Linked DNA regions of Sus scrofa. The protein of the gene in region 4 interacts with the protein of the main gene of each other region in a biochemical or structural test. Links are inferred from orthologs where the notes say so. Each region holds a gene or a part of one and is shown on either strand. Other genes may lie near its edges. The genes, in order: CLNS1A, RIOK1, COPRS and PRMT5.

Evidence for each region.
Region 1: the proteins of PRMT5 (region 4) and CLNS1A form a complex in vitro, tested with the Homo sapiens proteins (5 studies listed by BioGRID and IntAct, with this or other methods). The link is inferred for Sus scrofa from reciprocal best matches to the Homo sapiens genes PRMT5 and CLNS1A.
Region 2: the proteins of PRMT5 (region 4) and RIOK1 are reported together in a solved structure, tested with the Homo sapiens proteins (2 studies listed by BioGRID, with this or other methods). The link is inferred for Sus scrofa from reciprocal best matches to the Homo sapiens genes PRMT5 and RIOK1.
Region 3: the proteins of PRMT5 (region 4) and COPRS form a complex in vitro, tested with the Homo sapiens proteins (3 studies listed by BioGRID, with this or other methods). The link is inferred for Sus scrofa from reciprocal best matches to the Homo sapiens genes PRMT5 and COPRS.

The regions. Positions count from the first base shown.
Region 1 is NC_010451.4:12,103,651-12,107,218, forward strand, and holds part of CLNS1A (methylosome subunit pICln), read right to left. Parts: intron 3,187-3,568; coding exon 3,050-3,186; intron 1,615-3,049; coding exon 1,513-1,614; intron 603-1,512; coding exon 495-602; intron 1-494. UniProt on the Homo sapiens protein: Involved in both the assembly of spliceosomal snRNPs and the methylation of Sm proteins.
Region 2 is NC_010449.5:4,764,201-4,767,768, reverse strand, and holds part of RIOK1 (serine/threonine-protein kinase RIO1), read right to left. Parts: intron 3,023-3,568; coding exon 2,936-3,022; intron 2,364-2,935; coding exon 2,226-2,363; intron 1,668-2,225; coding exon 1,564-1,667; intron 1,073-1,563; coding exon 966-1,072; intron 1-965. UniProt on the Homo sapiens protein: Involved in the final steps of cytoplasmic maturation of the 40S ribosomal subunit. Involved in processing of 18S-E pre-rRNA to the mature 18S rRNA. Required for the recycling of NOB1 and PNO1 from the late 40S precursor.
Region 3 is NC_010454.4:43,096,278-43,098,504, reverse strand, and holds the end of COPRS (coordinator of PRMT5 and differentiation stimulator), read right to left. Parts: intron 1,700-2,227; coding exon 1,478-1,699; intron 936-1,477; coding exon 766-935; 3' UTR 507-765; downstream 1-506. UniProt on the Homo sapiens protein: Histone-binding protein required for histone H4 methyltransferase activity of PRMT5.
Region 4 is NC_010449.5:76,109,590-76,113,826, reverse strand, and holds the start of PRMT5 (protein arginine N-methyltransferase 5), read right to left. Parts: upstream 2,823-4,237; 5' UTR 2,818-2,822; coding exon 2,708-2,817; exon of another isoform or gene 2,472-2,707; intron 2,028-2,471; coding exon 1,909-2,027; intron 1,600-1,908; coding exon 1,514-1,599; intron 966-1,513; coding exon 831-965; intron 1-830. UniProt on the Homo sapiens protein: Arginine methyltransferase that can both catalyze the formation of omega-N monomethylarginine (MMA) and symmetrical dimethylarginine (sDMA), with a preference for the formation of MMA.

The DNA.
Region 1 (3,568 bases), on a different chromosome or scaffold from region 4:
TGGGAAAAAGAAAAAAAGAACAGTAGGCGCCTCAAGCAACAGGACTCTAAACCAAGCTAGTGACTGCATTCTGCCCTGGGGAGGCAAAGGGAAACATTCTCAGATAAACAAAGTACCGTTCTGGGTAAAAGAAACTACACGGGCAATGAGTGTTTGATGGCACAGGTTAAAGATGTTCCAAGTGGTGGAGGCGGAGGTTTCTTTTCTGGGAGTGGCGGCATAAACTTAAAAGCCCCTCCCGACTACCCATTTTCCTATCTATCATCTTCCTTCCATTTTCTTCCTCCAATTCCCTCTATTTTTTGTCCTCAAGCTTCGGAATCCCATAAAACTTTGCGACTTGGCTTAGACGTGAATTGTACCATTCACTTTTATTTAAAACCATACCATGTGGATATCTGGAGATAAAGAACTACAATCCCACATCCTTACACAAACGGATGCTTAAAATGAAACACACACAGAAACGCTCTTATAAAATCCTTGCTACTAACCATGTGCTTCCACGTCATATTCTTCTCCGTCGTAATCATCTGAATCTTCATCCTCGGGATCTGGATGCAAAGCCTGGCATTCGCACATTGCAGTGAACATTGCCTCCACTGGACAAGGAATTAAAATGTTGTCATTAATTTTCTCCCTCATCAATGTGTAATAAAAATTTAACAAAATAACCATCAGTGCAAATAAATTTAATGAGTAGACAAGAGGTACACGAGGATCACAACATTTACACAATCTGCCAAGTTCTAAGACGAACCAATCTTGTAAAGTATTTGATAAGAGATAAGTCACAAAATAATAAGAGTTCATTTTGAAATATTATTGAGATCTCTTCATGCATGGTTGGATTTTCTGAGTAAAAGCATCAGTGTCTTAGTCAGACCACTGGCACCAGAGTAAAGCCCAGCAAGCAGGCAGGGCTCTTTTTTTTTTTTTTTTTTTTTTTGGCTTTTTAGGGCATACGGAAGTTTCCAGGCTAGGGGGCGAATTGGAGGTGCAGCTGCAGGCCTACGCCACAGCCACAGCCACGCGAGATTCAAGCCACATCTGTGATCTACACCACAGTTCACGGCAATGCCGGACACCTAACCCACTGAGAGAGGTCAGGGATCAAACCCACTTCCTCATGGATACTAATCGGATTCATTTCTGCTGTGCCACGACAGGAACTCCCAGGCAGGGCTCTTTTCAGCTTTCCAGGCATCTTTCATTTTAGAATTGCCAGGAGTCCTCTGTCCTTTTCCAGTAAAATTCGCAGACAACAGCACCAAGTCCATGAAAATAACTAGATTTCTTCATTCGCAAAACACACCTGAGCCTGCCATACTCTCATTTCATTCATAATCTTATTATATTAATAAGTATCTGGTCCTCAGTGATATTCCATATGCTAAAATGAAGAAAAAACAATAGAACAGAGCTAATAAAGGTAAAGGAGTATGTGTGGATATGGATGGAAGGAATGCTTGGTATTTAAAGGGAAAAGAATCAATTCCAAATAACACTCACATGCTGATTTATCACTAGGCACAAATCTAAACTCAGCAATAGGTTCAATATCATCATCACTGTCTTCCTCTTCTTCATCAGCAACAGATTCTTTCAATTCTTCTAGAAAGGAAATAAAAAATAGCTTTTTAATGATGTTGTTTATTTGTTTTTAAAAACAGAGGCCTAAGCAAATTCCTAAAAGCATGCTTATTGACATATCAAAATATTGCATTTTTTTCCTTCAAATTATAGGAACATAGTTATTTTGAAGCTAAAAAAGACTCTGGAGAGTTTCTCTGGTCTAATTACATTGTACTTGAGTAAGTCCGAAGGATTCCAAGCCCCATCAAGGTCATGGTGGGAGGCAAGGAAACCCAAACACTCAGGCTTCTAACAAGCAGATTCCACTGTCATGTCTACTTCTCCTTTCACCTTGAGACAAGGACCCAAGAACAGTTTGTAAACTACTAATGTGATTCACCATCAACAATTTACAGGTAAGAAAAGGAAGGTCAGAGTTCACTTGTGGTGCAGCGAGTTAAGGATCCAGCGCTATCATGGCAGCAGCTTGGGTTGCTGCTGTGGCACAGGTTCAAACAATGGCCTATTTCCACATGCTGTGGGTGTAGCCAAAAAATAAAACAAAAAAAAACAAAAAAAAAATTGGAGAAAAAAAAAAAAAAAAAGTGGGGCGTTCCCGTCATGGCTCAGTGGTTAACGAATCCGACTAGGAACCATGAGGTTTTGGGTTCGATCCCTGGCCTTGCTCAGTGGATTAAGGATCCGGCCTTGCCGTGAGTTGTGGCGTAGGCTGCAGACGTGGCTCAGATCCCTGGTTGCTGTGGCTCTGGCGTAGGCCGGTGGCTACAGCTCCGATTAGATCCCTAACCTGGGAACCTCCATATGCCTCGGATGCGGTCCTAGAAAAGACAAAAAAAAAAAAAGTGGGAGCTCCCATCATGGTGCAGTGGAAACGAATCCGACTAGCATCCATGAAGATACAGGTTTGATCCTTGGCTTGCTCCATGGGTTAGGCCTCACTGTGCCCCCCCCCCCCCCCCCCCCCCCCCCCCCCCCCCCCCCCCCCCCCCCCCCCCCCCCCCCCCCCCCCCGCCTTGCTCAGTGGGTTAAGGACCCGGCACTGCTGTGAGCTGTGGTATAGGTCGAAGACAAGGCTTGGATCCCACATTACTTGGATCCTGCAGACAAGGTGTAGGTCAGTGCCTACAGCTCCGATTCAACCCCTAGCCTGGGAACCTCCATATGCCAAGGGAGCAGCCCAAGAAATGGCAAAAAGACCAAAAAAAAAAAAAAAAAAAAAAAGAGAGAGAAAGAAAGAAACATAAATACACAAAAGTACAGAATTCTAAGTACAAGTATATAGAAAATAAAAGGCGGTGTCCAAATTATTTTACTGTGCTGAAATTTTGCTTAAGAACATATTATCCAAAATAAGTCAATGGTTTGAATATTACATTGATTGTGATCAAAGAATATTTTTTGACATATAATAGGCTACCAGAGGAAGCTTAAGATTAAATCATGCCATACATACCTCCAAATTTGGCATTCACCATAACATACAAATGCTCTCGAGGATAGGCATTTAGGTCCCTGGATACTGCATGCAAACTAATGGTGGGGTATTCCAGTGAGAATCCTAATCCAGAGCCATCTAACCAAGACAGGCGGCTGAAAAACATGTTTTAAGTAGATTATTTTAAGAACTTAAATCCTTATTTAATATCCTTACATTTATAAAGGTTCAGCTTGGACACTTCTACAAATGAATAAAATGCAAAGCATATTGTTTACAAATATTCGCAAAATGAGAAAATTCAGTAGTAGGAATTGAATTTAAGACCAGTTCTGTTACAGTCTGTTTTCCTCTAGCTAAATATTCAAACAGATTCGAAATGCAATTTAAGTCACGTGTGTTTCTATGCCTTTTTACACGTGTTCTCAGTTGGAATGTCTTCAGGCACCTTCTTTGCTTTTGCAAAGGCTCTTCATCTGAGTAAGTCCGAGCCTCTCCATGAGTCCTCCCTATAATTACTCCAGTTCATAATATCTT
Region 2 (3,568 bases), about 71 Mb from region 4:
GTGTTGGTGAGGATGTACAGATGCAGAGAATCTGGGATCCATGCAGCCTGTTGGTAAGAGTGCTAAATGGTGCAGCCGCTAAAGAGCATGGCAGTTCCTCAAAGGATTACAAGTAGATTTACCCCATGATCCCGCAATTCTACTTTGGAGCCTGTATTCAGAAGAACTGAAAGCAGGGTCGTGAAGAGGTACTTGTACACCCATGTTCAAGGTAGCATTATTCACAACGGCCAAAATGTGGAAGCCACCCACGTGTCCACCCACTGATGATGGGCACACCAAGGGTGGTACAAGGACACACTGGAACATTATGCAGCCCTCAAAAGGAAGGAAATCCTATCTCAGGCTACACCATGGAGGAACCTTGAGGACCCTGTGCTCAGTGAACTAAGTCGGCCAAAAAAAAGACAAATACTATCTGATCCCACTTATATGAAGTGCCCAGAGCAGGTGTCACACACACACAAAGTGAGGACCGGGCTGGGGAGCGTGGCGGGGGGGCCTTAACGGGGACAGTTTCTGTTTCACAAGAGGAAAAAAGTTTTGTGGATGGATGGTGGTGATATTTACACAGCAATGTACTTGAAGCCCCTGGATTGTACACGAAAAAACGGTTGCAAGGGTAAATTTTGTGCCCTGTATGTATATTTTACCACCGTTTTAAAAATTCTCTGACTACTTAGAAGGGCCTCTGAGAAACAAGGGAAAGGAATTAATAACCAAAAGCTAACAGGTTTCTTACTAAACATTCGCACATTTGACCGTCTATGTATCTTGCCTGTTTCGAGTTCAGAAACTTGGCTTATCACTGGCTTTTTACTATTGTTTGATCCCCGACCTGTAAGTCAGAAGGACACGGTCTCAGGAAGCTGTCACAACGAACAAGAGTTGTGCCGAGTCATGAGTCCCTCGGAGACGCCACACAAAGGCAATCACTCCTTTCTCCCCTTTGCCACCCGCCTCACCTTTGAGAGATAAGCATCCACGTTCTCATGTGTAATTGATGGATCGGTGACAAATTCAAAGAGCTCCCGCACGGTCATCACAGCCACCCCGTGCTTCAGAAAGAAATCTACAAGAGGAGACGTTCATGAGAGCTTTGCGAGGGAAAAGGTTGTTATTCTAGACCCCTTATGCACAAAGAGATAAAAGCACACCATCTCCCAGCAGATGGTGTAAGTATCACTGCACCAAACAATTCAGTGCAAACTTTTTTTTTTTTTTTTTTTGCTTTTGGTTTTTAGGGCTGCACCTGCAGCATATGGAATTTCCCAGGCTAGGGGTCCAATAAGAGCTACAGCTGCCAGCCTACACCACAGCCACAGCCATACCAGATCTGAGCCACGTCGAGTCTGTGACCTACACCACAGCTCACAGCTCAATGCTGGATCCGTAACCCACTGAGCAAGACCAGGGATTGAACCAGAAACCTCATGGTTCCCAGTCGGAGTCGTTTCCGCTGGGCCACGATGGGAACGCCCCAAACGATTCTAAATCAGTGCTAAAGAGAGTTCAGAGCCCCGTGCCGAGGCAAGCTGGCCGAGAAGCCCGCTCTCCACTCACCGTTGACGTTGGCACAGTCCTTTCTCAAGAACTCCAAGGCATGCGGGTGGTCGTGCTCCACGGACTGGGAAACGTCAATGACGTACACGCCTCCACCCTGGTACCTGCGGGTCAGGCGCCCAGCGCCGTGAGAAACAGCAGTGGGCTGCATGCCACCAAGAGGGCCGGGCACCCCGGCCTGGGCACACCACTGCTTGCCCCCACGTGTCTAAAAAATTCTCCATTTTAAGAGCAATGGAAACTCATAAGTGAACGAATAAAATGAACAGGGTGGGCAAGGAGAAGAGGCACTCTGACTAATGAGAGGTGAAACCTCATATGAAAAAGAAGACATGCACACACACACACACACACATGTAACTGAATCGCTTTGCTGTGCGGCACAAAGTCACACAACACCGGACACCCACTACATTTTCAATTTTAAAAAAAAAGAAGAAAAAAAGAAAGAAAATGTCCAAAGTCCTTTCACTCTGCTAATGATCAGGGTGCTGGATTCTGTGACGAAAGTCACCGAAGCCGAGGGACACATCCTGCCCTGTGACGGAGCGGGAGCCAATCTTAGAGCCGGAGAGCGGAATGTGACTTCCTGGGCTGGGACTTTGTCTGCTTCCCCCAAGGACGGGACAGGCCTCGGGGCAGGTCGGGGGACACACACTCACAGCAGGTTGAACTCGCTGAGATCCGCGTGCACAAGCCTGGCGTCCTGGTACATCCTCCTCATGTACTCGATCACCTGCACGTACAGCTCGCGAGCCTTGGATTCTGATAACGGAACATTTTTCAACAGTGGTGCTGGCCTGGAGCAGACGCAAGGTGAACGACTAAGACAAACGGACCCAGAACAAGTTTTCTTATTTGATAAAACGCTACGCCCATTTCTCTTCTATAGCTCATCACCGAACCACTTCTTTAACTATAAAAACACCATTCTAAAACGCTGTCGGAGTTCCCGTCGTGACTCGGTGGTTGACGAGTCTGACTGGGAACCATGAGGCTGCCGGTTCGATCCCTGGCCTTGCTCAGTGGGTTAAGGATCTGGCGTTGCCTTGAGCTGTGGTGTAGGTCGCAGACGCAGCTCAGTGTAGGCCGGCAGGAGAAGCTACGACTGGACCCCTAGCCTGGGAACCTCTATATGCCGCAGGTGCGGCCCTAAAGAAAAGACAGAAAGACAACACACAAATAAATAAAATAAAATAAAATAATAAAATGAAACGCCGTCAACAGGAGTTCCCGTTGTGGCTCAGTGGTAACGAACCCAACTAGCATCCATGAGGGTGTGGGTCTGACCCCTGGCCTCGCTCGGTGGGGTTAAGGATCTGCTGTTGCCCTGAGCTGCGCTGTAGGAGCTGCTAGGCCTTCCAATACTCACGTGTCGCCTCTTCCAATGAAACCCATGACCAGCACATGGCTTCTTAGCAGGACAGGTTCCGGGCATGGGATCTGTGCTGTGCTTAGCCTGTGAGAGCAAAGAACAAATGAAAAGCTAAGACAAACATTCTAAAACACCTCGTCGAAAACAGCTGGCAGCAGCTACAGCAGCCAAGACTACTACCTCCCTGAGGAGAGAGCACAGGGCCTCTCAACTCTATCCTTTTACTTCATAAACCCTAAGACACCGGTGATTTTAAGTGGCACCACCATGCAGCACCAAGAACAGCAAAACACTGCCAACTCAACCACAACACCCCACAGCTTCTAACACCCATTTCGATTCCAGAGCCATTAAACTGTGGAAAAAGTGGGCACCTTAGAACCGATGAAACACAGCAGACAACGTTTGCCATGATCTTTTCAGCTGATCAGTGTGAACAATAATTACTCAAAAGAGTGGACTCAGAGGTCCCTCGTAGCTCACGGGTTAAGGATCCGGCATTGTCACTGTAGTGGCTAGGGTTGCTGCTGCGGCATGGGTTCGATCCCTGTCCTGGGAACTTCTGCATGCCACGGTTGTGCCCCCCCCCAAAAGTGAACTCACACCCAGTAGTTAACCAGGCCTAAGAAG
Region 3 (2,227 bases), on a different chromosome or scaffold from region 4:
CCTGGCCTCGATCCGTGGGTTAAGGATCTGGCGTTGCTGTGAGCTATGGTATAGGTCACAGATGCGGCTTGGATCTGGGGTTGTGGCGGCTGTGGCATAGGCTGGCAGCTACAGCTCCCATTCGACCCCCTAGCCTGGGAACCTCCATATGCCACAGGTGCAGCCCTAAAAAAAAAGAAAGTACACCTTTGGTCAGAAGTATCTAATTTAGGAGTTCCCGTTGTGGCGCAGTGCTTAACGAATCCGACTAGGAACCATGAGGTTGTGGGTTCGGTCCCTGGCCTTGCTCAGTGGGTTAAGGATCCGGCGTTGCCGTGAGCTGTGGTGTAGGTTGCAGACGCGGCTCGGATCCCGCATTGCTGTGGCTCTGGCGTAGGCTAGTGGCTACAATTCCGATTAGACCCCTAGCCCGGGAACCTCCATATGCCGCGGGAGCGGCCCAAAGAAATAGCAAAAAAAAAAAAAGTATCTAATTTAAAAGGAGGAGAAAAAAGTAGACAAAAGCGTATTGATCATTTCCTACCTTTATTTATAAAGTTTTCTACTCCTCTCCCAACAGAGACGTACACACACATACCTGGGAGAAGCTCATTAAAAACAACAACAACAACAACAGAACAGGGGGCGGCAGACCTTACTTAACACCAGTCTGTGTGCCCAGCTTGGGGATCACTGGGAATGTCTCCTCGGATGTGACATCTCACCTCAAAAGAAGGAGACCTTGACCTGGAAGGCCCGCCCGCCCACCAGGCCAGGGCGGCACCCTCAGTCTTCGGCATCATCAAACTGTCCCGTTTCAAAGACCATCTTGGAATAATGGGGTATCAGTGGAGGCGGGTGGTGCCAACTGGGGTCATAGATCATGTCTCCTTGTGGGGCACAGCACACCCAAGGTCTGACCTCTTGAGAAAGGCAACCCTGGATGTCGTCGGCATCTGTGGGCAGTTTTAAAAGCCAGATTAAAGGAAAGGAGGGAGGGTGAAAAGGGAGAGCCCAAAATGTCTAGGGGACAGACGCCCACACTTTCTTTGCTTAAACACACACTGCATGAACACACACACGTACACACACGCCAACACACACAGAGTCCTTTGCTGAAGACCGGTAAGCACCTTCATTCTGAGGCCACCCACAAGCCCGCTTCTCAGACACGGGTCTTAGCAGCGCAGAGGAAGCAACTGGTGACCACAGCACTTCTGTCTGCAGCTGCCTGATTCATGCAAAGGTATCTGGAGAGTAACGCAGTTTTGACATTAAAACTAACCAATACACTAAGTAATCAAATGCAAACCTGCCCTTTTTTTCCAATTATTTCATGTGAAAGAGAAGCTGTCACAGAAATCTCAGACCTGTTACAGCTCTCGGGCTAATAAGCTCCTAGATGTGTCCCTCTTCCAGACTGGCTGCCTTTAGGGGGCTCATCTCGTAGGAGGGTCTCGGAACCCTGGCCTAGGAACCCCAGGAGCCCCACACCTACCATATGGATTCCCTTGATCTGCTTTCAACTCCAAGTCCCAGTCCTCGTTAAAAAGGTCGGCAGCCTGCTCCTTGGGTGGACAGCCGGACACCCCTTCTGACAGCTCCCATGTATTCAGGTCCCCATCAGAGTCCTCATCATCCACAGCAAAGCCTTCCTCTTCAGAATGGATGCTCTCACCACGGGCAGGACTATCGTTAGGGATGCTCTGGGCTCCAGTGGCTAAGAAATCCACAAGAGGAAAAAGGACTTAAAACAACAGGCAAGCCAGAGAGGGCCGAGTCGTGTGCTTGGGAGATTTTGGCCGGACTTACTAAGAGGACACCAGTAAATAGTGTTCAGAGCTCTTTAGCCACCAGAGACCTTATTTAAAAATTATTGTCCTGTTTCCCTTTTTTTTTTTCTGCCACACCTACAGCAAGCAGAAGTTCCCAGGCCAGCAACTGAACCTGCTGCACAGCAGTGACAATGCTGGATCCATAACCACTAGACCACGAGGGAACTCCCTGTTACTTTTTTTTTTTTTTTTTTTGGCTTTTTAGGGCTTCACCCACAGCATGTGTAAGTTCCCAGGCCAGGGGTTGAATGGGAGCTTCAGATGCCGGCCTACAGCACAGCCAGAGCAACACCATATCCAAGCTGTGTCTGCAACCTACACCACAGCTCACAGCGATGCCGGATTCTTAACCCAGTAAGTGGGGCCAGGAATCAAACCCACATCCTCAAGGATACCATTTGGGTTCATTACCA
Region 4 (4,237 bases):
AATAGCTTCTGTACCTTAATTAATTAATTAATTTATTTTTGGCCGTGCCCTTGGCATGTGGAAGTGTCCAGGCTGGGGATCAAACCCCACCACAGCAATAACCCAAGCCGCAACAGCGACAACACCAGATTCTTAACCCACTGCGCCACAAGAAAACACCTCTCTGCCCTATTTAGAACTCTATTTTGAACTCATTGGGTCCAGAAGCTTCTTTCAATTAAAAAGATCTTGATCCAGGAGTTCCTGTCATGGCACAGGGGAAACGAATCCGACTAAGAACCACTAAGAGCTAAGATTGTGGGTTTGATCCCTGGCCTCCCTCAGTGGGTTAAGGACCTGATGTTGCCATGAGCTGTGGTGTAGGTCGCAGACACGGCTCAGATGTGGCGTTGCTGTGGCTATGGTGTAGGCCGGCAGCTACAGCTCTGATTTGACTCCTAGCCTGGGAACCTCCATGTGCCACAGGTGCAGCCCTGAAAAGACAAAAAAAAAAGCTTAAACATAAATAAATAAAAAGATCTTGATCTAGATTTCAACTTAATCCCCTTACATGCTTTTCCCAATTGTGATTTTATGTATGTGCACACGTATCTCGTGTACATCCTTATGTAAGTATCTGCCCTGTCTTTTACTTTATTATAAGTTTCTGGAGATAATAGAATATGCTATGTATTTTATAAGTCTCTGCTTACCACTTTTAGTTGTGGGTAGGCAGGACTGACATTTAAATTCTGCCTAATGCACCCTTTACTGAATGGCTAGGAAAAGAAGATATTTAGCACAGCCTGACTACCATAATGTGCAGCAGGAAAGGAGGCCCTCAGCCATACCATGGAGGAGTGGTGGCCAGTGTGGATGTGATTAGTCAAAACTCTTGCCAAGTTTGTGTTATCTTCCTGATTTAGGGGCAGCAGGAAAGCTGGAAGACCCAAATAGGCCCCAAAATTCAGCTCCTGTAACATAGCCTAGAATGGAGAACAAGAGGCAAAGTTAAGAGCTAGCAACTCAAACAACCTTTTTTTTTTTTTTTTTTTTGTCTCTTTAGGGCTGCACCCACGGCATATGGAGGTTTCCAGGCTGGGGGTCCAATCAGAGCTGAAGCCGCCGGCCTACGCCACAGCCACAGCAACTCAGGACCTGAGCCATGTCTGCAACCTACACCACAGCTCACGGCAATGCCGGATCCTTAACCCGCTGAGCAAGGCCAGGGACTGAACCCTTGTCCTCATCCTCATGGATGCTAGTTTTTTTTTTTTTTTTTTTTTTTTATTTTCCCACTGTACAGCAAGGGGGTCAGGTCATCCTTAGATGTATACATTGCAGTTACAGTTTTTTCCCCCACTGGATGCTAGTTTGATTCATTAACCACTAAGCCACAAGGGGAACTCCTCAAACAGCTTTAAGTGCATTACATCAGATTTACTAAGTTATGGAGGGGAAAAATCTGTTCTCCCCATCCAGGTTGTTTACAGATCTGATCTTTAGAAAGATTCGGTGAAGATGTCAGTCTTACCGCCTCAGAGTTCCTGCGGATCTTCTCCACTTTTGAGTCTGGACGAATCCATGGGGAAAGCTTGCCCACAATTAGTGTATTCCAGTCTGCACTCCCCAACCCAAGAAAGACAAAGACTGAGTGAGGTTCAGCACTTTATGCATTCAATTTCTATTTCTTAACAGGGAATAGTAGAGATGAGAGACAAAAGGCTTTTTCTATCACAGATACAGGAAAGCCTGATGCAGAATAGGAAACTAAGGCTTTGAGCAGTAAGCAAGGAGAGAACAAGAGTTATCCATATCCCAGGGTTGAACAAATACATCCAGGTCAAGAAAGGAAGAGGAAGAAGGCACTGATAAAACATAAGTTGTTACTGCCTCTAATAATTAAGGGGCATGTGGGATGGTCCCTACCCCTTCCTGACAGCAGTAGGTCTGATCGTGTCTGGGGACCCGGCCGATTCTTAGCAGGTTCCTGAGTGAACTCCCTCTTGAAACGCGGGTGGAAGACAGGCATGCAGAGGAAATCAAACCTACAACCACGACAGACCCAGAATCGTCATGTAAAGAGAGTAGCAGTGCCCAGCGATCCAAGCAATTGGACTAGGCTATCTCCATTCTGCACAACCCTTTCAGCTGCCATTAGTCAGTCACTCGAATGGGCTGCTGAATTCGGCCCATTTTAGGGAATATCACTTCCACTGCGTTGTGCCTCAATTTCTTCCCAGAACAGAGCCATGGAAAAGATGAGAAAAGAGAAAAGATGAAAATCCACGCCACGTGGACTTTCTACTCTGTTGTCACTGATTTTCCAAGACTGTCATATCCAGATCTGCTCCAGTACTACCCAGGCTTCAGCCCTCAAGGTTCATCTCTCCTCTCCCTAGCCCCATAACACTTCCTCCCACTCTGAGACAAGAACCTCGCACCTCGCTCTCCAGGGCCCTTGAGGTCGTACGCCCTCTTTTTGAGTTTACCTGATAACTCTCTCGACTTTGGGGTTCAGGGACCACACGTTCCCAATATGTCTTTCTTTCTCTTTCTCTTACGCTCCAGGGCCGGAGGCTTCTCCCTACATGGACTAGCGGTTTCTCCCACCCTAATCTTATCCACTCCGACCCCCTCACCCCTGCTTCCCAGGGATGACTGGTCTGCCCCTCTCAGTCCCCGAGTTCCGACCCCGCATTCTGTTCGCGGAAGTCCAGGCCCTCACCCCTGCTTGGCCACAGCCCCCAGTGTGTCAGCTATTTCGGGGACGCAATTCAGGTCCCTCCCGCTGGACACGCGGCTTCCACCGGCACCGCCGACCGCCATCGCCGCCATCTTTTCCCTCGCGCAGTCCACGCCGAGATTCCCTGACACTGGCAGCCAATCACAAAGCCGAAAAAAAGCCCCCGGAAGGCGGGACGAGTCTCCCTGACAACCAAAGCGTCTCCCAGGGTCCCGAGCAAGTGGAGGAGGGGTGGGAAGTGGCTCTTCCTGCCAATCCGCAGGCTGCACAGTGACGTAGGGCACGGCTCCGGAAGAGTCACCAATCTCAGGGTCTGGTTCTCGACAAACTTCGATCTCCCATAATGCTTCATGTACTGGTAAAATTCCGGTAAGAGACTACACGTCCCATGAAACCCTGCAGTATAAGCTTGAAGTGTCATCATTGAGAACGAAGAAGTCGTCTCAGGGCCAGTGGCGCAATGGATAACGCGTCTGACTACGGATCAGAAGATTCCAGGTTCGACTCCTGGCTGGCTCGGTGGGGCTAACGCTTTTGGTGCATCCCCTGCAATGCTTTAATGCCCCCTTTTAAAATTTCTTCGCTGTCCTCTCTCGCTCTCATTTTCAGGTCTTAATGTTATTGCATTCTGCAACTATTTCATGCCAGCGTTTAATAATACCTAGTTCAAAGATGGTTCTTGTGTCCCTGCCTTGGTGCATCCAAATGCACCAAGAAAACTGAGTTAATGGCTGGTGCTCTTAAAATGGATTTTGAATGGGCCTTAGTATATTTTTAAACAGATTGTGGCAATTCAGCCACAAATTCCTTGTGATTCGGTATCTCAAATACAAAAAGCAAACACTGAAACACACACACCACTGAAGATAAAGGAATTCATGGTGAGAGATTACAGTGGAGAGAAGTTATGAATTGACTGGCAGAGACAGGAAAGAGTCTCTACATTTTTCTTTTCCATGCTTGCTAGAGGGATGGAAAAGAAGGAAAGGAATGAAGCAAAAAAAGATCTAGGCAGGAGAAATACCTGAAGGCAGGAAGCCCAGAGGTGTTGCGGACTTGGCAGCGGGGAACGGAAAAGAGAATCAATACAAAAGGCCCTAGGCAGGAGGCCTTGACAGAATTTAGAGACCGACTGACAGGGAGTCTGAGAAAGGGAAGTCTGGGGGTGATGCCCAGAGTTCTGGCCTCTTTGAGCGAGACAAATGATAAAAGCTGGTTTAGGGAGAATCGAGGCTGGGGTTTGGAAATGCTGACTTGGACGTCTAGGGGGCGCTGTGTAATAGAGAGTTGTATGAACAGTGATCTGAACCAGACAAGATTTGCAAATCGCCAGAAGAGAGATAGTGACTGAAGCCAGGAGACCGAATGAGATCGCCGCAGTGGACGACAGAGTCCTGAGAAACACGGAATGTGTGTGGATAGGCTAAGCTATAAGGGAATACATTGTAAGCGCCCCAAAAGGATGAAAGTCAGAAAGTCAGAGAACTACGAAAATGCCTATGAAGCCTAAAA